2 linked regions of the Notamacropus eugenii genome follow. The protein of the gene in region 1 purifies or fractionates together with the protein of each later gene. This does not show direct contact. Links are inferred from orthologs where the notes say so. Each region holds a gene or a part of one and is shown in the gene's direction. Other genes may lie near its edges. The genes, in order: protein S100-A4 and PPFIBP1.

Region 1 (15,429 bases):
AAACTTGATGATTCCATGGGATCTGAGCAAAGTAGGAAGTGGGGAGAATTGGATGCTCAATGATAACTCAAGAATGGATGATGCTGAGGGAAGCAGAATGAGCTCTTTGATGTGTGAGGGCAGCCAGGGAAGAGGTGCTGAGTCTCTAATAAAAGGTGCCCCTGAGGGGAATCCCTAAACACTATCCTTGCTAGTCTGGCCACCTGTAATTGCCTTCTTTCCCAGGCAGGAGCCTACAAAAAGGGATACCCCCTGTCCATGGGCTATCACAACTGAGAAGCTAGCCTACTGGTAAGTGTTCTGGGTTGGGAGTGAGGTCAGATGGTTTGTGGAGGATTCTTTCTCCATACTACCACCAGACCCTTAATTGTGGACAAGGGATTCCATGAAATGTAGGATGGGGAGGGAGAGCAATGTCCTAACAGGGACAAAGTTGGAGAAGGGGTTGGGTATATGAAAAGGGTGGTCTCAGAGAACAGCTGTCCAGGCTTACCTGATAGAAAGTAAGCTCTTTGAGATCAGGAAATGTTTTAGGTTTTGTCTTTGTATTCTCTGGACCTGGCATAGTACCAGACATGTAGAAATAGGGATCAGGAAGGGGGCAGACACTGGATCTGTGATTTCACTGACATAGGGAATGCACCTTCTAGTCTTGGAGAAATGCATAGAACACTGAGATGTGACCCAGGGTCACACAGCCAGGATGTGTCTGAGATAGGTATTGAACTCAGGTCTTTCTGGCTATACCCACTATGACATATCACTTTTCAGGCTTCCTGGTACATATCAAACACTTAATTAATATTTATTGATCATATTGGAGATCTCAGGGTATAGTGAGGATAGCTGTGAAAAAAGACTTGGGTTTGGTGGCCAGTATCCAGAGACAGCAGTTGCCTTCAGATAGCTCCCTCTGCTTTCTTTCCCTGTTTGGTTAGGGGAGAGCTCAGGGATAAGTTGAGATAAATCTATGAACTCCCTGGCTAAAGCTTAGAGAAGTTGGCCTAAGGGGATAAGGCTGGCCCAAGCAATCTCTGAGGCTCACCCTCCTGTCCCCTTCCAACTCTGCCTTTCCTCTACATTCTAGGACATCCCCCATCTGCAGACAACAGTCAGAGCTTTCAGAAAGCCCCTGCTCCTACCTAGCCCTGGTTACAGCCTTCTAGGGTTGACCTGAAAATTTGGTTAAAGGAGGCAAACAGGCTGAGCGATATGTTAATGCACGTTGTTTATTCCCTTTAAGCTAGTCTAAGCTAGGAAACTTGTACAAAGAACCAAAACCTAAGTTCTGACTGATGAAAGAATGATCAGGTTAAATGTGTTTTAGGACAATCCCAGGATGTCTGTGTCTTCAGATTTATGGTCTCTATATGTGTTTAACTATATCATAAGATAGGAATTTTCTTAATTGAATAAGTTGTAAACACAGTGAGACAGGACATTTGACAAAGTAGTATCAATTGGAATTTATGATATCAGAATATCTGGGTTTCCCATATATGTCATATATCTCTGTGATACCAAGATAAGAAGAATGCCACCACTCTGATTGCAGGAATCCTTTCATAAACAGATCTTTGAAGTTGCTGACACAGGAAAGGGCATTTTTAGAGCAAAGCAATGCAGTCTGATTGATTAGTTTAGGCTTTGGTCCTTATTAAAGTCCAAAAATGATATTAAATGGTTATCACTAACAGTCCTTTCCGCAGAAGTCAGCAAATGGGCCAGATTAGGACTGGGCGAGAAGGCTTATGCTAGGCTGTTTATCAGAGAAATCTCTCTTCCCCTTAGGGAGCAGAGTATGAGTCACCTTATATGAATGGAAATGACTACTACTTTCTTGGCTGGTTTGGGGGTTTCCTGTCCTGGGATTGGTGAAATGGTTATCCCCCAAAGGATTTCCCAGTTGGGGAAGCCATCCCTTAATATGGTCGGGGAAGGGTGGTCCCATGCAGGAACCCATTTCCCAAGACTCCCTCCAAACTGCTCAGGTCAGAAGGATGGTTCCCCCATGGGGTATGGGCTCTGAAGGGGTATCTTAGGTCTAGAAGGGACCTTAGAAGGTCTGTTCTAATATCCCACATTTTGGCAGGTAAAGTGTCATTATTCATAATTCAGAGATGAGGTAGCTGAGACCAAGGAAGGTTGTGACTTGCCCAAGAGAGCAGAGGGAGGAAGACTAGAACCTCAGCTTAGCTGCCCTATATGAGGAGCTTTTCACTGCACTATCCTGCCTTTCATGAGGCTGGAAAGAGAATAATGAAAAAAAGAGCAGACTTTGGGAATCCTTAGCATTCCTAATTCTTGCTCATTCCTCAGCTATTATTCTAAGGACCTGAGGGTGAAATGCAAAAGTGAAACAGTGCCCCCTTTGATCATCCCTTCTCTTTTCAGGGAGTCCCTGGGGAGATAGATGGGTGCTATGGGGCTCCTGTTGGAATAGGGTCTTCACAAGGGAAAAACTGCCAGATTTGGAGGACTTAGGGCCTGGAGTCAGAAAGACTCATCTTTATGAGTTCAAATCTGGTCTCAGATACTTCCTAGCTATGTGACCCTGGGCAAATCACTTAACCTTGTTGGCCTCAATTTCCTCATCTGTTAAATGAGCTAGAGAAAGAAATGACAAACTACTCCAGTGTCTTTGCCAAGAAAATCCTAAATGGGGTCACAGAGTTAGACATGACTGAAACGACTGAACAATCAAAGGGTTAAGGTCTCTAATACGGTCAGTCCCCCAAAGCCATGGGCCAATCCCCTTTATAAGTGCTAAGGCCATGAGGGTAGGCAGGAGAATCCTGAGGGAGAACAGAATCTGAAAGGAGAGGCAAAGAGATCACAGAATCATGGAAACTGAGCTGGAAGAAGCCTCAGAAGTCATTTAGGTCCATGCCTACCTGAGCAGTAATCCCTTCTATAACACCTGTGATAAGAGTTTAGATTAGATTCCTTTCATTTCTGACTCTCTGATTTTCAATAGTCATCTGACTTCTGCCTGAAACCCTCCATTACCTCATAGTTCCAGTCTGCCTGGATCTCACTGGATCCCAATCCTGTCATCTGACACATTGGTGTCAAACTCAAATAGAAAAGGGGTCAATAAATCATGCATTAAGGATCCCTGTGGGCCATATATTAACTTAGAAAATTCTCTATTAACATTATTTATGTCTTACCATATTTTTATCTATTTTGTTAAATATTTCCCAATTACATATTTTTTAAGGCAAATGAGGTTAAGTGACTTGCCCAGGGTCACAGGGCTAGTAAATGCCTGAGGCTGGATTTGAACTCAGGCCCTTCTGACTCCAAGGCTGCCTCTACCCATCCAATTACATTTTAATTTGGTTCAGGCCACATTTGAGAGCATTTGTGGACCTCAGGTGATCCTAAGCTGTGTGTTTGACACCTCTGCTCTCACATATTAACTATTAACTCCCACCTTAGTACTCTTTGCAAAGTTGGTATACTTTTGTCGAAGTTATTATAAAACATATAAGAGAAAATAAGTCTAATCTACTTCCTATCTCTGCCTGCTACTTGTCAGCTGATAAGTTTATTTAACTACATAGGTTCATAGATTTCTAGGTTTAAAATTGGATTTTTAGAAACCATCTAGTCAAAATCCTCATTTTAAAAATAAAGAAATTGAGACTCAGAGTGGTTAAAGGACTTGTCCAAGGTTACATCAGCAGTAAATGACAGGCAAGATGTAAACCCAGGTTATGACTCCAAAGTTGGTGTTCTCCATTCTGCCATGCTAAGGAAGACTTCATGGAAGTATTTGAGCTTGGTTCTGAAGGAATTTGGATGAGAAGGGAGGGCCATGTGAATAGAACTTCAAACCAAAGTGAAAGCAGACATTAGGGAGTCACCTGCAGGATGACAGACCCTATAGGAGAGGGTAGAGGCTGAGGGGGGTATGTGCCAAGGAGAAACTCGAGGGTACTGCCCTTGACCTTGATTCTTTCATAGCCATCTGGGGGAGATGGAGAGATGATTCAGATACTGTTTCTTTCCTTTTAGAGCTTATGGCATTGTAGGTGGAAATGAGGATTTCTAACTTTCTAAAGTATTTGGGAATGTGGTATATTTGGTTTGTAGTTATACTTTAAGAGTTTGTGCTAATGTTGTTATCCTTTTCCTAAATGGTGAACATCATGATGGCAGGGTCCATGCGGTATCTACCCTGTGTACCTTCTTTAATGTCTTAGCAAATGGTTTTTGCTTAATAAATGTTTGCTGTATCTCATGACATGATATGCATTCATATGCCCTAGCTGGAGAATAATTGTGTCCTCCTTCCCCAAGTGACCATGCCATCAACCTTGGAGGAAGCATTGGCTGCCATCGTGGATACCTTCCAGCAGTATTCAGCGCGTTCCGGGGACAAATTCAAACTCTCCCAATGTGAGCTGAAAGAATTGCTGCTAAAGGAGTTGCCCACCTTAGCCCCGGTAAAAGGCCGTCAGGGGTCATGGTGAAGATGGGGTGGTGTGAGCTTTTATATTTCATGAGTTATCATTTCTTGAGCTGGCAATCTCGAGCAGAGTGGAATGGGATGTGATGGGAGTGGGGAGTAGGAGGCAAGATCCATGTTTTACAGATCGCTGAATTGGGAGTCAGGAGAGGCAGGCTCTGATCCCAGCGCTGACACTTAGCACCGAAGCCTACAGACTCATAAGTTTATTCAAAAGAAAAGCTGGAATAAAATTCATTATGTGTGAGCTGAAACTCCAAAGTAGGAGTTGCCATTATGATTTAGCATAGCATAGAAAACATCATTATCAGAGAAAGTACATTGTGATGAAATGCCCTTTGAAAGTAAATGTGTTACCTACTTCGAAGAGTGTTTTACAACAGAGGGGTGGAACTTGTAGCTAAGGATGCAAGCATCCCATAAAACTAGCAAGTGTAGCACACACCAGATTGAAATGTAATTGAGGAATGATTAACAAAATAAATAAAAATATAATACAATATAGATAATGTTAATTTGTGGTATTCTAAGTAAACACGTGGCCCTCTGGGATCCATTTCTATGGAATTTGTCATCACAGTTGTAAGGAAAGAACTTTAAACCTTTCAAGTGCTATATAGATGTGAGGTGATTATTAATTAATGATAATAAATGATGGAACAGAATGAAGGATATTTTTAAAAATAAAATTTTAGCAGTCTACATTTTTTTAATATCAGAAAATATAGTCTTTTTTGTGACAGCATGGGGGACTTTACAGTGTAATTCTTAAAGCCTTCAGTGGCTAGCCATACCTCTGGGGGCCATTTTCAAATATGAGGGACATCCTGACTAGGGTATATAAATGCCTTGTTCAAGCACTAAACTGGAGCCCAGAAAGGACTTCCTGACAATGAGATGTAGTCTTTCTGTACAATGTAGATTAAACAGACCATCATCAGTCTGAGAGACACCTGATAAAAATGATTTGCCCAGGGTCACACAGGGGCTCAGGGGATAAAGCTGAGGGACCCAGGTCTCTCGATGTCTAATCCAGTGCTCCTTCTATTATGTCATGGCACTGATTTGAGAAAGCCAAGAAGTTCTTCCTGTCTCAGTCTTTCTTCTTACTCTCTTCTACATTTCCCAGACGAGGCTCCGAGAGTGTGACTACAATACTCTCATGAGTGCATTGGATACAAACAAGGACTGTGAAGTGGATTTCACTGAGTACGTCCGAGCCCTGGCCTGTCTCTGCATCTACTGCCATGAATACTTCCGGGATTGTCCCCCTAACCCTCCTTGTCCTTAGTAACTCCATAAGTGGGATGGGTCAGGGATGGGGGGAGATAAAGTGAATTGATGCTTGGGATAGAGCTGTAACCTTGGTGTTATGTCCCTTCTACCTGGAAGTTGTCTTGGAGAGATTGAACGGTCACTTGTCTGCTCTGTGGAAAGCCAGGTTCTCCTTTGAGGATCCTTGTACTACATAATGGATGAGGTCTCCTAATCTAGACATTCCTTAATCTGTCTCAGTTTTCAGTTTGATTTAGGACCCTTAGGAAATTTCCCTTCTCCTCTTCCAGCTCTTTTGCTTCCTTTTGTCCTTCTCCTTGGGTCTGTGGTATTCTATTCTAATTCAAGAATACACTAAGAAAGTACTTTGGGGAGGTAAAGAGAAGACATAGAGAGATGGTGGGGTTAGTAGGAATGAGGTACTAGGGATGAAATTCTTTTCATTGTTCATGTGCTCACCAGTGTGAATGATCTCTCAATAAAAATGGCTGTTGTTCCAGCTCCCTTTGCGGTGGTTTGGTTATTCTTAAAAGGGAATGGAATAGGGCTGGGCTGGGCTTCTTTGTTACTGAGACCCAACTGTTTTGTCTAATACCTCAAATTCCAGCCATCCTCCTAAGGAACTGGGATTCCCTGAGTCCTGTGAATAAAAACTGAGGGGGTACTTGGAGAACTTGTTGATATTACTAGTTGGGAGAAGAGGCTTTATGTTCTCAGCTAGTCTCACCATCTCTAGAGGAAGGAGGATCAGGAAGAAGAGGGAGTGGTTTTGAAACTGCTGCAAGAGATTTGTGGTTAGATTTGAAAATGGAGAGTATACACATTGGATGAAGGGAGTGCCCTCTGAACATCTAGAGCAGGGGGTCAAATTTCAAGGGGGTCTAGTGAATGGGGGAAAAAAATTACATCTTTATTTTCACTAACCTCTAAATGAAATTTAGCAACTCTCTCAATCATTTGAATATTATTCTGAAGAAAACTTCATCAGACTGGCAAAGGGGTCCATGGCACCAAAATAAAAGTTAACAGCTCCTGAACTACAGGCTTTTCCTCTCTGGGGGTCTTTGAGAGAGAAATACTGGTGGTGGGCTGGAGAGGGAGGCTGTGATAGGGAGAGGTGAAGCACGTCTCAAATCCGGGTTCAGGAGGGCCACTGGGTAACAGTGCTTCCACAACAGAGCACCAGTGAAGTGGAGGGTGGGGCCTGGGTGGGGCTGCCCATTTCTAGCCTGGGGCTGTGGGGAGCCGCCAGGGCTGAAATGGCGGCACTAATAGGATTAAAGCTGATGGCCTGTTTTCTTCTCGTTTTCTGGTATACCTCTCCCAACCCCAGTCCAGAGTAAGGGGACAGCATCTGGGAGAGATACCCCTGTGCCTTGGTCTGATAACTGATTAGCAAACCTTTGAAGATATTTTATCCCTACTCTCATCTCCTGATATGTAACCTTAGGATGCCATCCTCAACATCCAAGTGTCCCGTATCCCATAGGTTCATGTGTCCCCCTTTATTCTGGCACCCCCACCTCACCCCCATATACACTCTCATGTGTACTCTTTCCCTCGATTTGTGTCCCTCTTCACCTTCTCGGGTCTCATTCTGGGCACTCATGTGTCCTTCCCTCCCTGTTCTGATTCATTCCAGATGCACATGGGTGCACCCCCCACCCCAATCCTGACAATCAGCCCCATCCTACACACTCATGTGTTCCCCTTCCTTCCTTCGTCCCTACACTTGGACTCCTTCTGGGCACTCAGCCACAAACTCCAGAGGATAACAGTACTTGGAGATGTTTTTCTTTCCATGGAGTATTTCCCAAGCATTCTCCAAGTCTTTTTCTCTGGAGTTAGCCTGGCATCCACTTCCATATCCTTCACACATATATCCTGCTATGTCTAGGAGAGCCACACCCTCAGCAGAGCCCTGCTCCCCATGAGGCAAAGGGACTAAGTGGCCCCCTCTCTCACACCAGATCAGTCCTGTGCCCTGGGTCTTTCTTCCTTCTGTTCTAGAAGATTCTTAGTTTTGTAGGAATTTTCCATCCTCATGCTCTCCCCTCCCCTTTCCCCTACAACTTAACAAAGACTGCATACCCCCCTCTTATTGTAGCCCCTCCTACAAAGTGGGGTTGGGGCTCTACCTACTCCTTCAGATTGGGGGCTCAAGGCCTGTGGGCGCTGTCTGGCTCTATTTTCAGGGTTCTCTCTCTCTCTGATGGGGGGGAGTAGTCCCTGAAAACTATCCCTGTATTAGTGCCTCATCTTGTGTAAGCTTTGCTCACCCACCAGCCAACGTGAGCTAGGAGGTGGAAGAGGCCTTGCTATTGGTCTTCTCTGACCCAGCATCAGGGAGGGGGTGTCCCAGCTCCCCTCCGCCCCTTGCCACAGGCAGGGTTTGGCTGGGGGTATAAATAGGCCCTGGCTCAGCCCTCCCCACTGTGTCCCTCTCTCTCTCCCCTCTCTGCATTTCTTCTCTGGTTGGTTTGGTGAGTTGTGGTTGACTTGGCCGGGGATGTGGGTGACAGGACCCTAGGGCCTGGTAGACAGAGGAGGCTGAGTGGGGGCCAGATGTAGGAAGTAGATCCAGATGTGAGGATCCTACAGAAAGACTCTGAGGAAGGAGTGGTGAAGAGGGGTAGGTGTTTCAGGTTTGAGTTGTAGAGAGATGCCAGGGTGGGGTGGAGGAGTGTCCCAGTGGGGGAAAGATTGCAAGACCATCTGACTTGGATGCTGTATGCATGTTGCATATTACATCTCTGCACCTGGAGAGTGCATCTGTGTCAGCAGCATGTAGTCATGTTTCATGCATGTACATATGTACATGTGGAGCTGTGTAGTGGCTGTGTAGAAACCTCACTTCTGATCTCTCTCCCGAGCAGGGGAATAGCTCCCCCTCTGTCCACTTCTCCTCCCCCTCCTCTCCTTCCTAACTCACCCTCCCCTCTGCTTGACTGTTTTTTTCCATTGTCAGTCCCAGGGCCTGTCTCCAGAAGCAACCGCCCACTCCTGTGCACAGAGCAGAAGAATGGGCTGGGGAGGGCTAAGCTTTGGGGAATGTGTGAGTGTGAGTGAATGAGTGGTGGAAAAACCGAGCTGGAGATTACCATTGCTAGCTTGTTGTTGTGGTACTGGGCACTGAGAGGAGCCTAGGGTGGGGCAGGCATTGCAGAAACAACTTCCTAGGGCGACTAGGCAGGCGAAAGAAACTAGAGAGGAAACTTCAGGGCAACAGTTTTGTGCAGGGAGGTGGGGACAGAGGACTGGTTTAAAAAATGACCTTTAATGTGTTCTAAACTTAACTGGATGCAGTGGCAGATTTTCTCTGAAGAGGTGCAGTGTGCCTGGCAGGGAGGCATCGGAAGATCTGGGCCCCACTCTGCTTCAGTTTCCTCACATAAGAGGCTGCCAACCAAGAGAGCTTCCCTGAACCTCCTATATGGGGAAACTGAGGCAGGGTGGGGTTCGGCATTCTTCAATCTTTTTGTGCTCCCTCAGGCATAACTATAGTAGGGGCTGCAGTATGAATTGTCAGTCCTGAGTCTAAGGACTATTTGGCCTTCTTTGGAGGGCCTCTTCTCTTTATTGTCTGACCCTGCTTGGGCCAGGGCTAGTTTCTCTGTCCTGTCGGTTCGTGCCCTCAGGGTGGTGAATCCTGCCCCATTCATGCTTTACTCTGAGAGGAGCCCAGAAGTCAGCTCTCTAGGGAGGTGTCCAGAATCGTCCTGTCTTGAAGGGAGGAGCTGGGACCCTGATGGTCCCAGGGTGAAGGGTTCAGAGGATGGGGTGGAATGCTGACATTTATGCTGGTTTTGGATCTATAAAGTGAGGAGCTCAGTCTAGATTTAGTGGTTCCCAACTTCTTTGAGTAGGTAGACACTTTTTAATGTAAAAAAATTTCTAGATCCTCCCCTCCCACCTCATTATAGTAAAAATATAGAATATATAGAAAATATAGGGAAAATAGAAAAATTAGCATAAGTTGACTCAGAATAACAACAAAAATTCAGTAACACTTTTGAATGCACCTACTATAATCAAAAAATAGTAAGATGTGTGAGATTTTTATTTTACTTATTTATTACATATTTATATATATTATCATGTATTGATAATATATTCTTTATTTTGAGTCACTGCAATTACTCAAAGTCCATAGTCAGGGAATGGCTGCAACTAGACAGATGAGCACTAAGGCTTCTTATCTCTGCCCAGAGAAAGGAAGCAAGTTGTTCATAGTCACATGGGTAATAAACCAGAATTCAAATCCAGATCCTGTGGTTCCAGATCCAGGGTACTTTCCACTTCGTCTTGTTATCCAAGCCAGTTAAATTTGGAAGGTTCACCTCTGGAAGAGCAGCAGCCAGTTTACCATGCTTTTTGGACTGCCTTAGCAGTGCCCTAACATGATCCATCGTGATCACTTAAGGAATAATAGGTTGTCTATACAGGGAGCCCTGTCTAGGGTGGGGCATCCCAGGCATTGCCTCAAGTCCTCCAGATGAATATGAACAACTGAGTCTAGAACCTCAATAAGAAGAATAATGAGTTAAAATGGAAAAATTGGGTTTTTTCCTAGATTTCATTTCCCTTCCTCTAACCTTCCAAATGATTTTTCTTAAAAAAAGGTGCTGATTTGAGGGCATTTTTCTGACTTCTCACTCCATCATTGGGTTTTCAGAAGCTTATTCTGGGCTAGAAAGATGTGGGTTTCAGTTCTATTTCTATAGGAATCACTCACTATTCGTGTTGGTGGTACTGAACTCATCAGAGGAGGGAGGTTCCCACATGGATGACATCACCCATTCTTGAAGTAGTCCAACACAATCCCACATCCACTCTGTCCCAAATCAAAGGTGTCTTCACTTGCTCCCTCCTAGGTGCCCCTTAGGACAGTATCATGGCAAGCCCTCTGGAAAAGGCTCTGGATGTGATGGTGTCCACTTTCCACAAGTACTCTGGGAAGGAGGGAGACAAGTTCAAGCTCAACAAAACAGAGCTGAAGGAGCTGGTGACTCGGGAACTCCCTAACTTCTTGGGGGTGAGTAGTGTGTATGTGTGCTGTGGAATCCATAGATCAGCTCCTGCCTCCAGCTCTCCTGCCACTCGAGACGCCTGTTGACCACATATTCTCATTTATTATAATTATCATATTAACTATTATAGCTAATTATTGTAGAAGAAAGGTTCTTAACCTGGGGTTGGTGAGCTATGCTATTATATTTATATATTATATTTTAATATTTCATGTTATATGATTTTATTTTTATATTTAAGTATAGTTGGTAATAGTGTGTATTTAATTTTATGCATCTAAAAATGCACTTAACCTGGAGTCAGGAAGAAGCAAGTTCAAGCCTCATATACTTCTTAGCTATGTGACCCTGGGCAAGGCACTTAATCTCTGTCTGCCTCAATTTCCTCAACTGTAAAAAGGGAATCATACCGGCATCTACCTCCCGGGATTGTTGTGAGAATCAAATGAATTTAATATTTGTAAAGTTCCTGGCACATAGTAGGCACTTCATAAATGCATGTTCCCTTCTCTTCTTCCTATTGTAAAAGAAGGGGGTTGGATTGAGTGGCCTTTGAAGTCCCTTGTTGCCGTAAATCCAGGACACTATGCTCCGCTGATGAGGTGGTGGGCTCCGTTTTGGGGAGTTGTCACACCACATCTTGTCTCCTTTCTCCTCTTCCAGAAAAAGACAGATGAAGCTGCCTTTCAGAAGCTCATGAGCAACCTGGACAACAACAGGGACAATGAGGTGGACTTCCAGGAGTATGCAGTCTTCCTGTCCTGCATTGCCATGATGTTCAATGAATTCTTCGAGGGCTATGCTGACAAGATGCCCCGGAAGAAATAAAGGGGAGCAGCGGTGATGCTGGGAAAGGGGAGAGGGAAAAAGGGGAAGCTCCTGGGGGAGGGGGGATCTGGGGAGAAGCTATAGGGTCACAGTATTCTCATGGAGCCCTGAGGTGGGCCCATTTTACCATCCTGGGTGATGCTGGAGCACACCCAGGTCACTGAGTAGAGCTAATAAAGGTTTATTGCAAGAATGTCCACTGGTGTTTGGGGAGTCATTTTGGTGGATAGTGGGTGGGTCAGTGACGTGGTTACCCAATAAAGAGAGTGGAGAGGCAGAGACCTGCATAGTCTCTCTGACTTTAGGGGCTTTTAAAAGTTGGGGGAATGCTGATGTGAGTTGTCAGTGGCAGGGCTTGGGGAGGAGGAATTTGAAAGGAGGAGTCTTGGGGAAACTGGTGCCGGAAATGCATGTAGTTCATTGGCACCGGTGAGATAGATTCACAGACGGTGAAAGCTGAGGTGGATCTTTTAGATCATCTCATTCACTTTACAGTTGAAGACTGAGACACAGAATGGTTTATAGATTCATAGGGTGCTAGAGTGAAGAAGGACCTTCAGAGATCACTTGGTCCAGACCCTTTTGGAGTCCAGACAAAATTCCTGGCTTAATACTCTTTCTATCTCATTTCTGTCTTGATGCTCTTTCCATAACACCCTTAAGAAATTTTGGGTAGCATAGGGACGAGCAACAAGAGGCAGAAAAATCCTTGAGAACATAGAGATGAGACTTGAAAAATCAAAAACCACAGTCCTGAAGAACCACCATAAATTAGACATGTTGCCCTCTTGAGTCCCCTGTATTGCCATCATCCCCCTCTTTCCCCATTCTTCTTCTAACTCAAGGTCATATTGAACATCACATCTGTTCTTGGTGTGGTATGTTGTTGAGGGGTCCTTGGGGGTGGTGGATGTTGGGAGTCAGGAGAAACCGTGGTTGGGGGGTGGGGTAGGGAAGGGGAAAGTGTGCTGAAGACAGCTACTTCTCAGCATGCCCTTGGGCTTTCATTTGGAATAGAAAGGGAGAGATGGAAGTAAAAATTTTCGTCTACTTAGTTCCTGGCCGACATCACTGGCCTTGCCCCTTCCTCCACTCACATGTTGTCTGAATCACAGAAATACTTAACCCCTTCCTGTCTAAAGCAAAAGCAGAAGGGGACATGAGTTAGGGCTGTTCCAAGGGATACTAGAAGGGGATGTGAAACAACATTCCTGAAAATTGTCTTGGGATGAGATGTCTGTTCTGGAAATAGACCCTGGAATTGCGTGCCAGCTGAGAGGGAGGTCAACCGAGAGGTCAGAGGGGAGGATAAAAAGAAATCAGAGGAAAATTTCCAATTGAACAAGTTAGTCTCACAGTATCATAGGCACCGGGGCTCAAAGGAACCTTAAAGATTGTCTGGTCCAATCTCCTCATTTTATAGATGAAGAAACTGAAGATCACAGGGTGGGGAGAGACAGGGAATCTTGAGTTTGAAGTCAGCTGAGATAGGGAAAGAGCTGAAGAATGATTACAATACGGTTATAGGCTATAAATAAAAAAGTCATTAACTGTCATGTGAAGGATTAGGACTAGAAATGAGGCCCATTGGACATCACTTGGGGACCCAAAAGATGTTAAAAGGAGCTGAGGCCTTAATTTAACTTTCTGATCCTGGGTTAAAATTTATCCTGCCTGAAATTTGGGGGACAGCAGAGGAGATCTCTCAGAAATTTCTCCCTTTTCCTTGCTATAATTTTTTCCCCTTAAGTGTGGGAGGATGGGTGACCCTAGTATGTCTTTCCAGAGGCCTCCCTTACTGTTTAGGATTTAACAATAAAGGCTTATGATCCTGTCACCTTGTTTATGGGTGACTCCTTCACTTCTTCCTTCACTAATTCACCACAGTTGCTGTTGCCCCAGGTCAATCCTTCCTGAGCCTCACCAATCCACCCTTTTGCATCATTCTGTTTCTAAACTGTGCTTCGGAAACTCCTATCACCAAGCAACCAATCCCTGGTCTCCCTCTTTAGTCCTGGTGCCTCACCCCTGAGAGTGAAGGGCCAAGGGAAAAGGGAGAGGACTGGTAAGGGAGGAACAAGGGACTAATCAAGGTAGCCACTTCTCATGCCCGCTGTCTCTCTGACTTCCAACATTCAAACTCTTTTTTTCTCCCTTCCCCAATCTTGCCCCACTCTAAATCTTTTTACCCTATTCCAGAGACCCTGCCTAAGTTTAGGTAGGAATGACTATTCTGATACCCTGTTTGGTAGTTGGGCTCCCATCCTGGCACTCAGCCCTAATTTATGACAATCTACACCTACCCTTATCCCCTATAATGTCCTTTCCCGTCTCTGATACCAAGATCCCTATTTGTCATTTCTTTTAATAAAGTCATGGCAGGGTTAGAAAAAAGCAAACAAAAAAAACCAATCATATCTTTTAGAAAACTTCAGTTCTATGGTCAGCCTTCAAAATACCACTCTGACCTGTACCAGGCATCTTTTACACTCAGCCATATCCCCTGTCTCAGTTCTATGTTTCAAGTGCTATGTTTCCTTGGGAGATATGGAGATGATAACACATTTCTTTTGTGCTTTAAGACTTAGAGAACACTATATTTGGAGTCAGAAAACTTATGACTTCCTATCTTTGTGACTTTAGGCAAATCATCTCACCTGTGTAGGCCTCAGGGCACAGTGGATAGAGCACTGAGCTTGGAGTCAGAAAGACTCCTCTTCCTGAATTCATATCTGGCCTCAGACACTTACTAGATGTATGACCCTAGGCAAGTCACTTTACCCTGTTTACCTTAGTTTCCTCATCTGTAAAATGAGCTGGAGGAGAAAATGGCAAACCACTCCAGTGTCTCTGCCAAGAAAACCCCAAATGGGGTCACGAAGAATTGGACATGACTGAAGGATGACTGAACAACAACAAAATATGAAAGGCTTGGTCTAGGTGGGCTTAGAGGGCTCTTCCTATTCTAAAATCGATGCTTCTATAATTCTGGGACAATTCTGTCAGGTAAATGGTGCAAATACCGCTATCTGCATTTTTGCAGATCAGGAAACTGAGGCTTGGAGAGGTCACAAAATCACAGATACAGAACTGTAAGGTCACATAGCTAGTAAATATCATTGCCAGGATTCCACCAGGGTCTACACCTGCCATCAGGTTAAGCCCTTTCCCCCACTACACCATATGTTCCTCCCATGACTCACAGTGACTGACTCAGGAGACAATCTCTGCTTAATACCCTAAAGGCTCACAATCTGAGCCTCGCCTCCTCTTTCTACAGCTTGTAAACAAAGCAAGAGCCATGGGGTCCTTAGTTCCTCCTCCCAGGAGGCCCGGGTCTGAGCCTTTCTGTGTCTCCTTCCCCTTTTCATTGGCCCTTTCCCATCCCAAGCTCCCTGGAGTCTAAACAAAGGTAATAAAGCTAGAGAGTAAGCAGAGATTCTATTTCTTCCCATCTCCTCAGATTCACTGGTTGCTTTGGCTTCATTGGGTGAGTCTTCACTGGACATCCTCAGCTTGGCTTGGGTGGCTATATGGAGGGCAGGAGTATTTTCCTAGGAGATTTACAGGATGGAGGGGTTAGTGTTCAGGGGATGGGAGGCTAGAGGCAGCAAACCCTGCTTAGTAGGAAAAAGAGCTTGGATTTGGGGTCAAGAGATGTGGGATCATTTGAGGTTCTGATGATCAGCAGGTACAAATAGCTTCTACTTTTCTGAGCCTCATCCGAAAAATGGGGATAGTCCATTGCTAAACCCCCAAGTTTTATAAAAAACACTGAGACAAGTGAAGTGACTTCAGTGCTTAAGGTCACACAGCTCA
Region 2 (15,458 bases), on another chromosome or scaffold:
GAAAATAAGTTACTGCTCTGCATTGGCAGATAGGGAGTTTCCTTACTGGGAGTTCTCTAGACCCAAGAAATTAGAAATCTAGATTTAAAAAAAACCCAACCAGTTCTACTAAATTAATATTCCATAATTTATTCAACCATCTTCCACTTAAGTGTTAGATATAGGGAATGTTTCTATTTATCTATTTTCTATTCTATCTAATTTTTTTTAGCCATTACAAATAGAGAATTTAGTACAGATAGAACAACTGTCCCCCTTTTTAGCAAAGGAATCAAAAGGTATAAAGTTGCTTTGTGACTCTTATTGCATATCAACATGTTGCTCTCTCCAAAATATTTGTAGCAATCTACTCTTCCCAAGGCCTTGCCGACATTGGAATTCCTGATTTTAAAATTATCTTTGCTATTCTAGTGGATGTATGGTTGCATCTTAATGTTGTCTTGCTTTGTAACCTTTCAAGAATTAGCAGTTTATATTTCTGCCTTTAGAAACTGATGGCATCTTTTAATCCTTTTAATATCCATATTCCATTGTGGAGTATATTAATTTTATAGATATGCATAAATTCGTTACGAAAGTCAGACCTTCAGCTGATATATTTTCAAAATGTTTTTCAATCTACTTTTCTTTTAATTTTGTTTTTGTTGTGGCTCAAAATCTCTTAAGCAAATTCTAAGCAAATACATTGAGTTCTGATTTTTGATACAGAAATATCACTCCTTCACAAGTGAGAAAAGTATTTTCTAGTTTATTTTTTTTTTTTACTTAAGATTGCTTATTCAGTTAAATTGTAGTATATAGTATAAATGTTGATTGAAACCCAAATTTTGCCTGCCATTCATTATTCACCTTCTTTCGAAAAGTAACATCTATGCATTTTTTTTGGATATTTCTTTTTTTATGTCCTTGCTAAACTGTATTTTTCATAAAGTATTTAGACTCTGACAATAGCAGAGGATACTCCCCAAAAGAGAGACGGCTCTGCTCCTAAGGAATAGAGGGTCTTCTTTAGACTTAGACCTTGACATTATTACAATTTATGCAGATTATATAGAAATAGTTGTAATACACAGCTTAAAGAATCTGGCTTTGTTAAATTTAATTTTAAGTTTGTCTTCTAAGTTCCAACCTGTTTTATTCTCTGTTCATGCAACCAGTAATTCTATCTCAGTCTTCCCTGAGGAAAATAAGGGCCCAGCTGGTGGGACGTGAGGTATAGCACCTATGTTCTCCTCCCAAAACACCCTGATATCTGGGAATAGTTTCTTTTTCTTCATGTTCTTGACTTTTTTTAAAAGCTAAGTCCTTTTCCCATTTTGCTTTGCTTACCACTACCTAACCCAGGGGTAGGAGGCCATGTGTGTCATTCCAAGTCCTTGGACACAGCCTTTGGACTGAGCGCAAGTTTTACAGAACAAATCCTTGTATTACAGGAACGTGTTCTGTGAAGTTAGGTCTTAACCCCTACCTGTTTTCCTTTTGGCCTGTGTTCTCACCCATTTCTGGCATGATCCGTTACCCAGTATTCTTGTGTCAGCTAAGCAATGGTATAATGTACCATATGTGTTTTTGTGGAGGAAGCGGAAGGGAAGGAGTTATTCAAAGCACAAATCCTTTCTATTACCTTATTCTTTACAACAATAAAGAATGTATGTATATATGTATCTATCTCTCTATATAATGTATATACACACACATACTGTATATATAAACATATGTGAATGTAGATTTCCATTGTTGGCAACAAGCAAGTACACTTCACACAGATTCTTTATATGCCTTATATCATGGCTGTGAATATTCTATTAAAGAGTAAAAAAGACATTATGAGTTGCCATCATTATTGAAAGTAATAGTATTGGTGACATAAGTATTTATGGATATGGCCCATTTATTTATTGCCATATATCAATATTATGGCAAGTTTCTAGAGGGCAGAGACAGTGGGGGTTTTTTTATTTGCTTTTTGCTCTTATACAAATATTTTTTAAGCACTTGTGAGCAAGCCACTGTGACAGGACTAAGATAATACTGAAATAAAGATGTGGACTCTGTACAACACCCAAGTCAGAACCCCATGCAGGGAGATTTGTTTTTATTCTAGATCAGGCCTAACAGTTCCATTTGTTAGGAAACTCTTGTAGGCCCACTTCTCTGTAGAGGAATATCATGGTCCTGAGGGTAATGCAAAAATGTGGCCTTCTGAAGCACCTGGGACAGAAGAAGTAAGGGGGCATGGGTTCCAGTTCTGGCTCTACCATTTGTATGACATTGGCAAGTCATTTAAGTTTTCTGATTCTTAGTTTGTTAACCCATCAGTTAAGGAAAATAATACCTGACCAACCTACCTCATGGAGCCATTGCAAAGTTCAAATGACATGATGGATTATGGAATCACTTTCAAAAGTAGAAAATGCTGTAAAAATGCCAGGGTCATTTTTATGTACTAAATAAAGCCACTCCTTGATCCCATGTTTCCTACCCAGGAATACCCTGGAAATAAAAGAGCCCCCAGGAGCATATTAGCATCAGTACTCTTTACCTCAACTGCTTCAGTCATCTGAATATATAATGAACTTACCAGCCATATAGAATAGAAATGTACTTTGGGTTTTTTTCCCACTGATACTAAATTAGTGCCTGACAAAAGGGTGGAGTTAAGGGCTCAAGTTCTTTTTACTAAGTTAGAAATAGCACAAGCAGTAATTAGGCCAGTGTTCCCCACACCTCCAGTCTTACACTACCTGAAATGTCTCTCAGATTAGAAATAGGAAAGAAATAGAAAGCTGCTACAAATGGAAAGTTTTTCCTACCCCATTTGAAAAACAGGAATTTGTTTGTAAGGGTTGGGCTTGAGATGTATAAGTATTTCTTGTTCTAGTTTTATTTCTAGTGAAATTTGAGTATTCTTTTTCATATCTTTGTTTGTATTTTATGGATGTTGACTATTCATCCAAGTAGATATTATGGGTTTGAGGGGGGTGGAGTTGGGTCATTTTTAATAACTTGTCAAATTTCTCTATACCTCCATGATGTGTTAGTCTTAAAAGAAAAGGGAATTTTTGCTATTTAACTCCATGGAGTCAAGAGATTGAAGGAACTTCAAAGATAGTTCTGCTGTCTTATGCTTTGACTCTTCAAGGATTTCTTCAGGTTTTTAGTTTTTCACTTTAAAGCTTGACATTTAAAATTGTGCTCCCCCTCTTTGCACCATCCAACAACACATTTAACTGGGCTCTAAGCTTGGTTTTACCACTGAGTCGCTATGTGATCTTACTCCTCTGTGCCCTAATTTCAATTGGAGGTAGTATTTGTATGGAGAAACTTCTGTTTACCACAACTACGTGTCATTTGTGAAGCTCAAAGGGATAGGCCCAAATAGCTACCCTTAAACTTTTACAAATTCTCACAGACTCATAGAGACATAGAGTTTTAAAGATGGAAATGTCATTAGTCACAAAATCATTCTAATGTTTTCACTAGGGAAAAAAATCCAACAACCTAGGATAATCCCCTTTTTAAAATTGATACCCAGAAAGGAGAGTTTATTACCCAAAGCTGAACAACTAATTAATGGTATCACTGAAAGAGGAAGAAAACTTTATAGCCTGGCTATGTTGTCAGCCCACATCCCTATTCAATGTTTCAGGACTTCCCTATTTGAAAAGACTCAACTAACTTCATTCATGAATCCAACACTTTATCTCCATCTTGTCTGAAGAATTTACGTGTCATCCAAGTCTGCTTACTTAAGATATTGTGTGCCATCTCATTATAATGACTACATCTATTTCAAGTCATATCAGAACTCCTCCACCTAGCACAGATTAATAAACTTTTACTTAATTCGATGTATATTAAAATCCATGTGAATTCAGTAACCCTGACAGAACCCTCTAAAATAGCTATTCTCAAAGTGTGGTCTTTGGGCCCCCTGATAAAGTCAAACTATTTTCATAATGATCCTAAGACATTGTTTACCTATTAAAATAATCCTCCTCTTTCTAACTGCATGTGTGTGTGATGCCGAATTTTCTCCATATACTTCACAGCCAAAACAACACAGATTGAATGCAAAAGCAGGTATGAGAATCCAATTGTTTTTCATTAAGACAGGCATTAAAGGGGTTTGCAAAAATATATAAAACAATTCTTCTCACTAAATTTTTTAAGAAAATTTTTTAGAAAGTAGCTATTTTTTATAAAAATTATGCTAACATGGAATGAGTTTATAATTACTTTTAAATTAATACATAAATATTAAAAATTTTTGACAATTTTAATTTCTAATATAGTAAATATCAATAGATGCAACCCACAACCAAAAGCTTTTCAGTAATTTTTTTCAGTAAGAAATATTTCTTTACTGCAAACTTCATGCAAATCACTTTACTAGGCAATTATAAAATATAAAATTTAGTTAAAATAGATTATAAGCTCCTTGATTGCATTTATTGTTACATTTTTGTGTATATACATAGTAGGCACTTAATAAATGCTGATTAATTGATAAATTATCCTTTACCTCACAGAACTTATATCTTACTATAAGATACAACAGACAGAATGGTGTGTGTGTGTGTATATATATATATATATATATATATTTTGCACTCAATAGTATTTTTTTCACTTACATATAAAGATAGTTTTCAACATTCATTTTTGTAAGACTTTGAGTTTCAGATTTTTCTCCCTCCCTTCCTTCCTTCCCTCAGCCCCAAGACAGCAAGTAATCTGATATAGGTTATACATGTACAGTCTTGTTAAACATATTTCTGCTTTAGTCATGTTGTGAAAGAAGAATCAGAACGCAAAGGAAAAGCTATGAAAAATGGGGGAAAAGTGAAAATGATATGCTTCATTGCATTCAGACTCCATAGGTCTTTCTCTGGATATGAATAGCATTTTCCATGACTAAGTCTTTTGGATTCATTTTGAACCATTATATTGCTGAGAAGAGCTAACTAAGGCTATCATAGTTGATCATTGCACAATGTTGCTGTTACTATGCACAGTGTTCTCCTGGTTCTGCTCACTTCACTTAGCATCAGTTCATTTAAGTCTTTTCAGCTTTTTCTGAAATGTGCTCATCATTTCTTATAGCACAATAGTATTCTTACAACACAGTACAGTATTCATATGTCACAGGTGGTTCAGCCATTCCCCGATTGATCAATATCCCTTCAGTTTCCAATTTTTTTGCCACCACAAAGGGAATAGTATAACAAGGGTTAGAACGCAAAGTGCTGTGTGAGTCCTTGAGGGGAGATCGTTACCATCCGAGGGATCAGAGATATCTTTACCAGATGTACTTTATAAAATGAGTAGGAATTAAGCAGTCAAAGGAAAGGCATTCTAAGTGTAGAGAATAACATGGACAAAAAGCAAGGAGATGTGAGAATGCAGAATATGTCCCAGGGCCAGAAAGCTTTTCCATTTGGTTGGAGTATAGATTACATAATGATATCCTGAAAGCAGTAGGAGATGGGAGCCTAGAGAGCAGAAGACAGATAAGCAGTGGAGATAAAGATTTGAGAGCCATTTTTATAGAGGTGACAGTTAAAACTGGGGGGAGTTATTTTCCAGAAAGAGAATATAGAGAAAGAAGAGAATGAAGGACAGAGCTCTGACAACCAGCCACCTTACCAGAACTAGGAAGGGGAGCCATTCCTGGAGTCATTAGAGAGGGAGGGAGAGAACATGGGGCATGTGATATTTGTAACTTCAGAGTGGATACTCGATGAAGTAATCACCAGCATCAGAAACCACAGAGGGGTGAAGGAGAGTAGGGATTGGAAAGAGATCATTGGACTTGATGATTACATTGATGACCTTAGAGAAAGCAATTTCAGTGGAGTGGTTCAAGTGCCAGTTCAACTTGCAGTGATTTGGGAGGGTAGCAAGAAAATGGAGGCATTCTATAAGACAACTTAAGAAAAACTACCTCTACCAGCTTATACAACATTCACTGCCTGTAGTTAGTCTACCACCTCTATACCAAGAGGAGAAGGTTCATTCCACCTAAAACCCTGATTAGTCATTGCTTTTAATCTGATTTCTAATTGTAGATGACTTTTCTAGAAATTTATTAATGAAGGGGAAGAAAAGATTGGAGGAATAGCAGCTGGATGATTTAGAATGTTCAGCAGAGGCACTCTAGAATTGTGGAGAACTAAGCATATTTGCAGACAGTTGGGAAAGAATCATTGGTGAAGGACAGACTGAAAATGCATGAGAGTGAGAGAGGAGATGATGCCTTGAGCAAAAATCCAGAAGATGGGAGTGGAAAGGAAAAGCATAGGTGGCATGAAACATCTAGTTGGAGTAGTGAGCAAAGTGCTGGACCTTAGAGTCAGGAAGATTGAGTTCAGATCCTATCTCAGATACCAGTTCTGTGACCCAGGACAACTCATTCAACCTCTGTCTGTCCTAGTCTCTTCATCTGTAAAATAGGGGCTACAATAGCACCTACCCTCCAAGGTTGTTCTAAGGATAAAATCAATCTCTGCAAAGAACTTTGCAAACAAGGCACCACATTGAGGCACTAGTCATTACACTTAGGGAGAAGAGGCACTTAGGAGAGAGGCATAAGGTTTGAGGAATAGAAAAAGGGAAATAAAGCAACTTGCAGAAGGTGAACTCATTTTTCTAAGAAAAGTAGGAGGTTTAAGTCATCTGTTATAGGTGTGGGGATAATAATATCATTGGTAGCAAGAAATGAGAAGATGTTTGGCTTTTGGGGAAGCCTTTACCCCCAAAAGGTATAGTTCAAAAAAGAAAAGGGAAGGAACTATCAACAACTCTATGAAAAATGCTTTCAAATCACAAATAGTGAAAGAAATGTAGACCAGAGCAACTCTAGAAGGTTCATCTCACAGCCTTCAAGTTGGTAAAAATAATTAGACAGAAATTAGTCAGTGCTGGAGGGGCTGTGAGAAGGCAGGCACACTAAAACACCGTTGTTGATGTGAATTGGTCCAACCATTCTGGAAATCAATTTGCAGTTGTGTAAGAAAAGACAGTACATTGTTTGTATCCATATATGACCCAAGTTGGCCAAAGAAAAGGGACACAGGTCCCATTTATTAATGAAGAATTCATAGCAGCCCTTTTTGTGGTAGCGGAAAACTGGAAGCCAAATGGATACCCATCAAGTGGAGAGTGATTGAATAAATTGTTGTACATGAATGCATGGAATATTATTACAACACAGGAAGTGGTGATAGGGAGAATTCAGAGAAAATTTGGATGACTTGTTGAAAAAATGAAGTGAAAATAAAATAAATGTAAAAATTATGACTAAAATAATGCAAATGAAAATACCAGGAGATATCAGAATGCAAATTAAATGCAATGATTCTGATTCCAGAAAATTGATGAAACATTCTCCCTATCAGATGCTTTTGCTGGGACACTTTATCTTTCTTGGCTGCTTTTCTTTGTTACAAGGAAAGGTTCAATGGGGCAGAATTGTAGGAATACACAGGGATATAAAAAATACAAAAAAAAAAATATTACTATAGCATTTTTTAAAAGTGTTACTCCCCAATAGGTTAGTGCTGAAAAAACTATGAGTATATAGTTCTCAAAATAACTATAAACTGTTAACAACAGTATGAAAGAAAATTCGAAGTCACTAATAATAAGGGAAATGCAAATCAAAACAACTCTGAGGTTTCTCTTCATGCCCAGCAAACTGGAAAAGATGGCAGAAAGATAGAAACAGGCAAAGTTAGGGTGCTTGTGGAAAAACAGGCACATAATGCAGGAATTGTGAATTAGTGCAAGCATTCTGGGGGAAAAGATTGGAATGATGCAAAACATGTTACTTAACTGTTACCCTTTGACTCAGAGGTCCCACTAGTAGGCATATACCTTAAGGTAATTAATGACAAAAAATTCTCAGTGATTTTTAAGAGTATAAAGGGATCGTCAAATTAAAATGTTTGAGAACTGATGCCCTAAAACAGGGGTGAGCAAATTAATGCTCAGCCCAGAAAGAGGGACAAGTTCTACCACCTGTTTTTAGACTGCCTTAGAGCTACACATGGTTTTTATATTTTAAAATAGTTTTATTGCATTTTAAAATGTGAAAAGTTGGGTGGTTGGCTAGTTTTGGACTAGATTGTGGACTCTTGCCCAAAAATGTTAAAAATACTTAATAGTTCTATATGTTACCAACTAGACTGAGATGTTGTGTATAGCCTAGTGAATAGAATGCTGGACTGGTCAAGAAGACCTAAATTCAAATTCTGTTACAGACCTGGGCTCTGTATGACAGGGCAAGTCACTTAACCTTTTTCAGCTTCAGTTTCCTTATTTGGAAAATGGAGCAATAAGAGCTTCTGCCTCACAAGGTCAACTATTACTAGTAAAGCAGTACTAATAAGAGTCATCTGTGTCTCCTCCTGAATCTGATCATTATACTTGCAAATAGCATGTGGTCTTTAATAAATATTTATTGAATGAACAAGTGAATAAATGACCTCAGGACTTCTCCCTTAGCATAGAGACTTGAAAACTGAAATCGTAATTTGTCAAGGAGGCGTTGATACTTTTCTGAGTGCAGTTAATAACCCCATCATTTTTTTTTGTTGTTTCAGATCCAGATTTGACTTCATTCCCCACTTGAGAAACTAGAAAAATGATGAGTGATGCCAGCGATATGCTGGCAGCTGCTTTGGAGCAGATGGATGGTATCATAGCAGGTAAGATCAGTCTCCAGCTTCTAAAATCCAGACTCAGTGATGAGTTGTTCCTGTGAAGGAGGAGATTATATTGGTTTGATCAGTTTCATCACACCCTCATAGTAGCTTATCTTGGACATATCAACTCCCATCGCTAAATCTCAGTTTTCCCATATATATGTAAATATGTATATGGGGGTTGGAAAATATCAGTTCCCTTCTTGCTTCCAAATCTTATAATTGATTGATTGACCATTGCAAAGTAGTGTCCATTTGTGGACACTAAGAGGGATTTTGAAAATCTAGAAGAGTTGTTTAGAGGAACGTGTCACAGTGGTGAGATGCATGAGGCAGCCATGCCCTATGAGAAACAGTTAAAGGAAATGAGAATGTTTGGTCTGTAGAAGAGGAGACTTGGGGAAAGAAGGAATGTGATAACTGCCTTAGAACATTTGAAGGGCTGTCTGTCGTATGGAAGGATCAGAGTCAGACTTAGTACACTAGAACAATGACTGGTTCTTTGACTTTTTGGTCTTAGGGCCCCCTTTACGCTCTTTAAAATTATTGAGATCCTCGCCTGCCCAATGAGCTTTTGTGTATGTCGGCTATATCTATCAGTAGTTTCTTGTTAGAGAAAAGAACTTAAATATATTGTATAAAATATTATTATAATGATAGTTTTGACTTCAGCGACTTCCAAGAGCTCCCAAGATCACACTTTGAGAACCAGTTTTAGAATCAGTTCTTCATCAGTTCTAGAATCAGTAGATGAAAATTAAGAGAAGATAGATTTCAGATCAAATTGAACAGTAGTAATCACTCATATTTCTCCAATGTTTTTAAGTTTTTTGCAAAATTGCACTCTCACAGTCTTGTAAAGCAGGCAGTATGAAGATTATTATTATTCTACAGATAAAAAAGCCAAGAGGTTCAGTCCCTGGGTTATAGAGGTAGTTATTGTTGGAATTAGAATGCAAGCTCTGTTCTTCTAACTCTTAAGATCAGTATTTTCTTTATTACATCATGTTTTCCCCAAGTCCAGTTGGACTTTGTTATGGACTCTCTATTCTGTAATTGTGGAATCTCTCTTTGGGGCTGTTTGGCCTCAGAAGTTATTTAGCAATGTTACCATTTCAATACCATACTTATTTCCCCCGTCCCAGAGAATGGCAAATGTCCTTGCTTCATAAAACTTCCTCTGGTGTATCTGGCTGGGTCAGAGGAGGTGTGTATCCCACAGCATCTCCAATTCAGGCTAGGCCTTCATTTTTCTTACTCTCTGCTAGTGAGGAAGAAAGAACTATTTTCTTCAGTGAGCTTTTGAATCTCCTTTTCCATTTGGCTAATTCTGCTTTTGAAAGCATTCTTCTCCTCATTGGCTTTTTGAACCTCTTTTGCCAATTGAGTTAGGCTAGTTTTCAAGGTGTTATTTTCTTCAACATTTTTTTGGGTCTCCTTTAGCAGGGAGCTGATTTGCTGTTCATGCTTTGACTTCATGTCTCTCATTTCTCTTCCCAGCTTTTCCTCCACCTCTCTAACTTGATTTTCAAAATTCTTTTTGAGCTCTTCCATGGCCTGTGCCCATTGAGTGGGCTGGGACACAGAAGCCTTGATTTCTGTGTCTTTGCCTGATGGTAAGCATTGTTCTTCCTCATCAGAAAGGAAGGGAGGAAATGCCTGTTCACCAAGAAAGTAACCTTCTATAGTCTTATTTCTTTTCCCTTTTCTGGGCATTTTCCCAGCCAGTGACTTGACCTCTGAATATTTTTCTAGTGAGGAAACAATATAAAAATGCATTAACTGAGTATAAATCTTTTTGGTGGTGAGCTTTTAGAACTCTGCAGATGTTCTAGGTAAACTACATCCAAAGCATTCTCTCATCTACTATCAAAAAAAGAAATCTGATCAGTTTGGCATGGCTTGTTCTCTATAAAATTGTGTTGGTTCTTTGTAATTACTGCTTTCCTATCTAGATATTCAACAATCATCTCTTTATCTGATCTAGAATTTGACCAGGAAGTGAAGTTAAACTCATCGTCCAAAATTCTGGAGGGTCTGTTCTCCAATATTTTTTAGGCTAGAAGGACTACATTGGGACAACATTTGCCAGTCTCTCCAAACTTATGAACCACTGTTCTAGAGGATACTTCTAGCTTTCCATGATCTTTCAAATATTACTGACAGTAGTGTAGTTTTTGTGTCTGTCAATTTTTTTTTTTTTTTTTAGAACCTGTGGATGGAGTACATCTGGGTCAGGTGATTTGAATTCATCAAGGAAAATTAACTCTCTCCTTATTTATTATAAGTGTCAGCTCAGTGTTAGTAATTTTATAAATAAATTACCTAGGTTAGATTTATAGGACAGTAGATGTTTATTTGATATGAGAAAAAATTTCCCAACAATTAATGTTTGTTGGGGCTATAGTGGAATGAGCTCTCCTGAGAGATAATAAGTGCCCCATCAGTGAAAGTACTCAAGTCAAGACTGGATAGCTACTTATTGGGTCTGTGGTGTGGGGATTTCTATATCAGATTGAGAAGAGATAGATGATAGATTACACAGAGATGAACTCTGAAGTCTTTTCCAACGCTGACATTTTCATTGCCTTATTAGAAATTTATTATTTGCTAAACTGCCTGTCTCAGGGAGTATGGCACCATGGTGGTATTTACAGTATCTAATTGCTTTAGCTCATGAGTTTCACAGCAATTCTGATAAAATGGTTTCCCAGCAAGGCCATAAATATAGCTTTTCTTTTGGCTTTATAAGAACTGGATTTATGTAAACTTCATTGCTTTCATTTCACTTTTTCTAGGCTCTAAAGCCCTGGAATATTCCAATGGGATTTTTGATTGTCAATCTCCAACCTCCCCATTCATGGGGAGCTTGCGAGCCTTGCATCTGGTGGAAGATCTTCGTGGCTTATTAGAAATGATGGAAACGGATGAGAAGGAAGGATTGAGATGTCAAGTCCCTGATTCAACTGCAGAAACTCTGATTGAATGGCTTCAGAGTCAAATGGTAGGGTACTTGTATTTTAATTTAGAATCTTTTATGATCTCAGTAATGGGGAACTTGGCTGATTTCATTTAAAAATTTTTAGAGACCTTTGTTTAGCAGCCTCACTATATTGTTTTCCCACCACTTAGCAGACTCTCTTGAGTTTCTTTTACCTATAATAATAATTTATCATTGTAATAGCTGCATTTCACTAATACCAACAAGCCATTAGATCTCATATATAAAATTCCTATGACCAGACTCTAGCAGAGTGATTGAATAGTTTTTATAATTATATAATATTTGAGAAGATAAGGATTTTTGAGGTTCAAAGATTTGAGAATTAAGTAAAATTTTGCTAAAAGTCAATACATGTTAGAAGATTCATGGTGAGGAAACTTTGCTTAGAAATGTTTCATTTATTGATGGTTTTAGTGTTCTAAGCACCATTGCCATATATCAGTAAACCCGCTAAGGTCTGAATGTCTGTCAAACATGTAAGTTGCAAAGAACCCAGGAAAGACGTAAATCAAAATAGAAAAGATACATGGCATTTACTTTTATTGACATGATAAAACTTCCTAAAAGTTTAAAAAATATTTTTATATATTCATATATTTAATTTTTATTTATTTATTCTTAAATATTTATTGAATTTGTTAATTTTTTAAATTAACTATATTTATTTTAGGTTTTGTTTATTTATTTTTAAATACTTAAATTTCAACATGATAAAACTTCCTAAAAGATTTGATTTTTAAATATCAATAAAAAATTAGGTATACTCTATAAAAATTGGATTTTTAAATGTCAAAATTTTAAATGTTTAAATATCAAATACTGGAGATTACAGCCTTTCTGGTGCAGCTGAATTAGGAAGTGGCATGATGGATCTGGTTTATGACCACATCTGCAGATCAGCATAGGACAGGAAATCACACTGGTCACATTGCAATGACATGTCCACCTGGCTGTGAGTCAGTTTTACTCCTATTCCCCACTGATTCAGTGATGTCACTAAGGCTGTGGGCTTTAGCAGGACTAACTGTTCTTGAGATGAGGATGTTTACATGAAATGTAACTAGAACTGTACAGAATAGGGAGTTTCCATTTGACCCTCAGGGTTCAAAAAATAAACTATTATAATTTCCATAATAATAATATAAATTGCTGCTGGATTATGTTAATTCTGTATTGTAATGATCTAAATACCACTTAGCATCTGTTGAGTCTTATAACTGTATTTTCCATTACCTGTGAGCAGGAAACATTGAATTCAAACTTTTTTGGTGGTGGATGCTGCAGCCATATAGCCTCTACCCAATGATCCTTATTCTTTACTGAGTCTTTGAATTAAACAGATTGATTAAGCTACTTGGGGCTTTTCAAGTTTACTGAAACATCATCAATCTACCAAACTCCTTCTCAGGAACCTAATATGCCAACATGGTTAGAGGAGCCAAACATGTTTTATGTAAAACATTTACCAGCAGCCTGCCTGATATGAATAGCAAGCGATTAATAGGTATGACTGTAGCTTTGTCTGATACCAAAAAAGCCACATCACCACACCCGGCATTCTTAGCACATCACACTGAATGAAAAAGAACATTTGTCTGTTATTAAAGCAGCTGCCATTTGGGGGCCCCAAGTTGTTTACTTGTCTGATTCCTCATAGTCACCTACTGCATGACATTTTTACATCAAACTCAGGCATGTTAAATTCAGGTAAGGAAACCTAGAATGATTATATAAAATTTTAGAGTAGTTAGACTCATTATGATCTTACATTTTTCTCCCTTGTTCCTGTTATGCATCTTGTTGTATGACTTTGGGAAATTCTGCCCAATCTATCCTACAATTTCTTTAACAGTAAAGTGAGACTAATACTCGTTATGCTTCACTAGTATATGTTTGGAGCATATATAAGAACTTCTTAGAGTACTCAGAACATCTTAGATTGCATAAATTCTAGAAAATGTGACTATAAAATAAATTGACATTTCAAGTATGTTTTAGGTATTTTGTTATTTTCTCTGTCGTGAGAATAATTTCTACTTACTAGCAGTAATTGGTAGTGACATGAAAAGGCAGCTATCAATAGCCATGGAAATAGTACTTATTAGTTATTATGTGTGTGTATGTGTGTAATGGGGGTAATCAGACTTGTGATTTCATCAGTGTAGGGAAGTTAAGTAATTTGCCCAAAAGCAAGTAGATAATATATGACAGTATTAAAACTTGAAAGCATATCCTTCTGATTTCCAGACTAGCCCTTCTCCATTATGCCATGCTGCATCTTAGGTATACTCTATAAAACTCTTAAGTACACATATCATTCTGTGTGAAGCCAGCAATGATTAATTTCCTGTTTGGATCTGGAAATTGACTACTTTCCTAATCCTTATTCAAAAATGAGTTCTGTGCCAACACTTAGAAGTTCTATGGCAATCCTTTAATTCATGACAAAAATTACTACCACTTGTTCATTTAAATTTTCTTTTTGCCCCTTTTTCCAAAAAAAAGATTTCTTTCACTTTCTTCCTTATCCGTCTTCTCTTTCTTTGTACTTTAGAACCTCATTCTCTGATTCATCATGCCTATAATCATCTGGTCTCTCTTTTCTCTGTATTATTCATACACTCAAAGTTTCTGAGGTATCCATTCAAGACTTTTCTTTCTAGGTACTTTTTGTCACTGCCTTTTAGGACTTATCCCATGGAATCCTTTCTTCCATTGTGTCTCATTCTCAGAACAATGTTAATTATTGTAAATGTAGAAAGGTCACTACCCTATATTAAGTCCTTTCCCCCCACTATTGATCTATACCCTCTCTTGTTGAACTGTTTTCTACATTTGCTTGGAAATCCCTCTGTGTCCATGCCCTTCTACTCCTCCAGGGGCTAGTTGCCCCCTGGGGTTCCAACTTTCCCCCTCCCAGGACAAGTAGACTTTTCAGGCACCAAGTCCCACAGGTCTCCAGTGCAAAGTCCTTATCTCCTTTCACGTGTAAGAGTATTCCCTAGTGAAACCTCTCCCACTTCCAAAGTAAGACCTCCTTTCTTCCCCTGTCCAATAATTTCTTCATCTTCTCCACTGCCCTAAGACTGCAGAGGTCACCTTCTTCTCATTCATTGCTAGCCCTTGATTTGACCTAGCGTATAATACAATCCTCTATCCTCCTGCTCCCCTCCCCTTCCCTTTCACTTACCTTCCCGTGTTGTAATGTTGTCCCACAAAAGAAACCTTTACCTGTAGGTGGGGTATCACTAGGCGCTATCCAAACTGCCTCCATCTGCCTCTTCACCATTACCTCTGTCAGATTTCTGCTTTCACCCCTTAGCTCTTCATGTACATTTAGAAACAAGTTTCTGTAGTCCCTGTGTTGCTGTTGCTGTCCTTGCCTGCTGCGTTTATTCACTCCCATATTTCCTTTCCCTCTGAAGTATCCCCTTGATTCTTGAAAGTTTGTGCAATTGTGAAAGACATAATAGAATTGGGTTCTTGTTTTGTTTTCAAAGGCACCATCATTTCATGTAAATATGCTTTAAATGGTGTAAAATGAAGAATTCTAGTTAATTTCCCTCTACAGGGTCATAAAAACATCTCTTTGTTCTGTCATTGTATATGCAGGAATCCCTTATGAGTCGTTGATAGACTAGAACTGCTAGCAGAAATGTTGAGAGTAGTGAATGGTCCATGCTGGCAGTGTAGCCACTATATGCACTCTGTAAGACTATTAGTCTTGTGTTTGTTATGTATTGTTC

Evidence for each region.
Region 2: the proteins of protein S100-A4 (region 1) and PPFIBP1 purify together in Homo sapiens (co-immunoprecipitation; 3 studies listed by BioGRID and IntAct, with this or other methods). This does not show direct contact. The link is inferred for Notamacropus eugenii from reciprocal best matches to the Homo sapiens genes S100A4 and PPFIBP1.

Annotation. Positions count from the first base shown.
Region 1 is NC_092873.1:377,519,857-377,535,285, reverse strand, and holds protein S100-A4, read left to right. Parts: upstream 1-8,014; 5' UTR 8,015-8,235; intron 8,236-10,626; 5' UTR 10,627-10,646; coding exon 10,647-10,787; intron 10,788-11,445; coding exon 11,446-11,610; 3' UTR 11,611-11,803; downstream 11,804-15,429. Other genes in the region: S100A3 (protein S100-A3), read left to right, coding at 4,314-4,454, 5,607-5,768. UniProt on the Homo sapiens protein: Calcium-binding protein that plays a role in various cellular processes including motility, angiogenesis, cell differentiation, apoptosis, and autophagy.
Region 2 is NC_092874.1:218,738,630-218,754,087, reverse strand, and holds the start of PPFIBP1 (liprin-beta-1), read left to right. Parts: upstream 1-8,606; 5' UTR 8,607-8,647; coding exon 8,648-8,711; intron 8,712-11,506; coding exon 11,507-11,712; intron 11,713-15,458. UniProt on the Homo sapiens protein: May regulate the disassembly of focal adhesions. Did not bind receptor-like tyrosine phosphatases type 2A.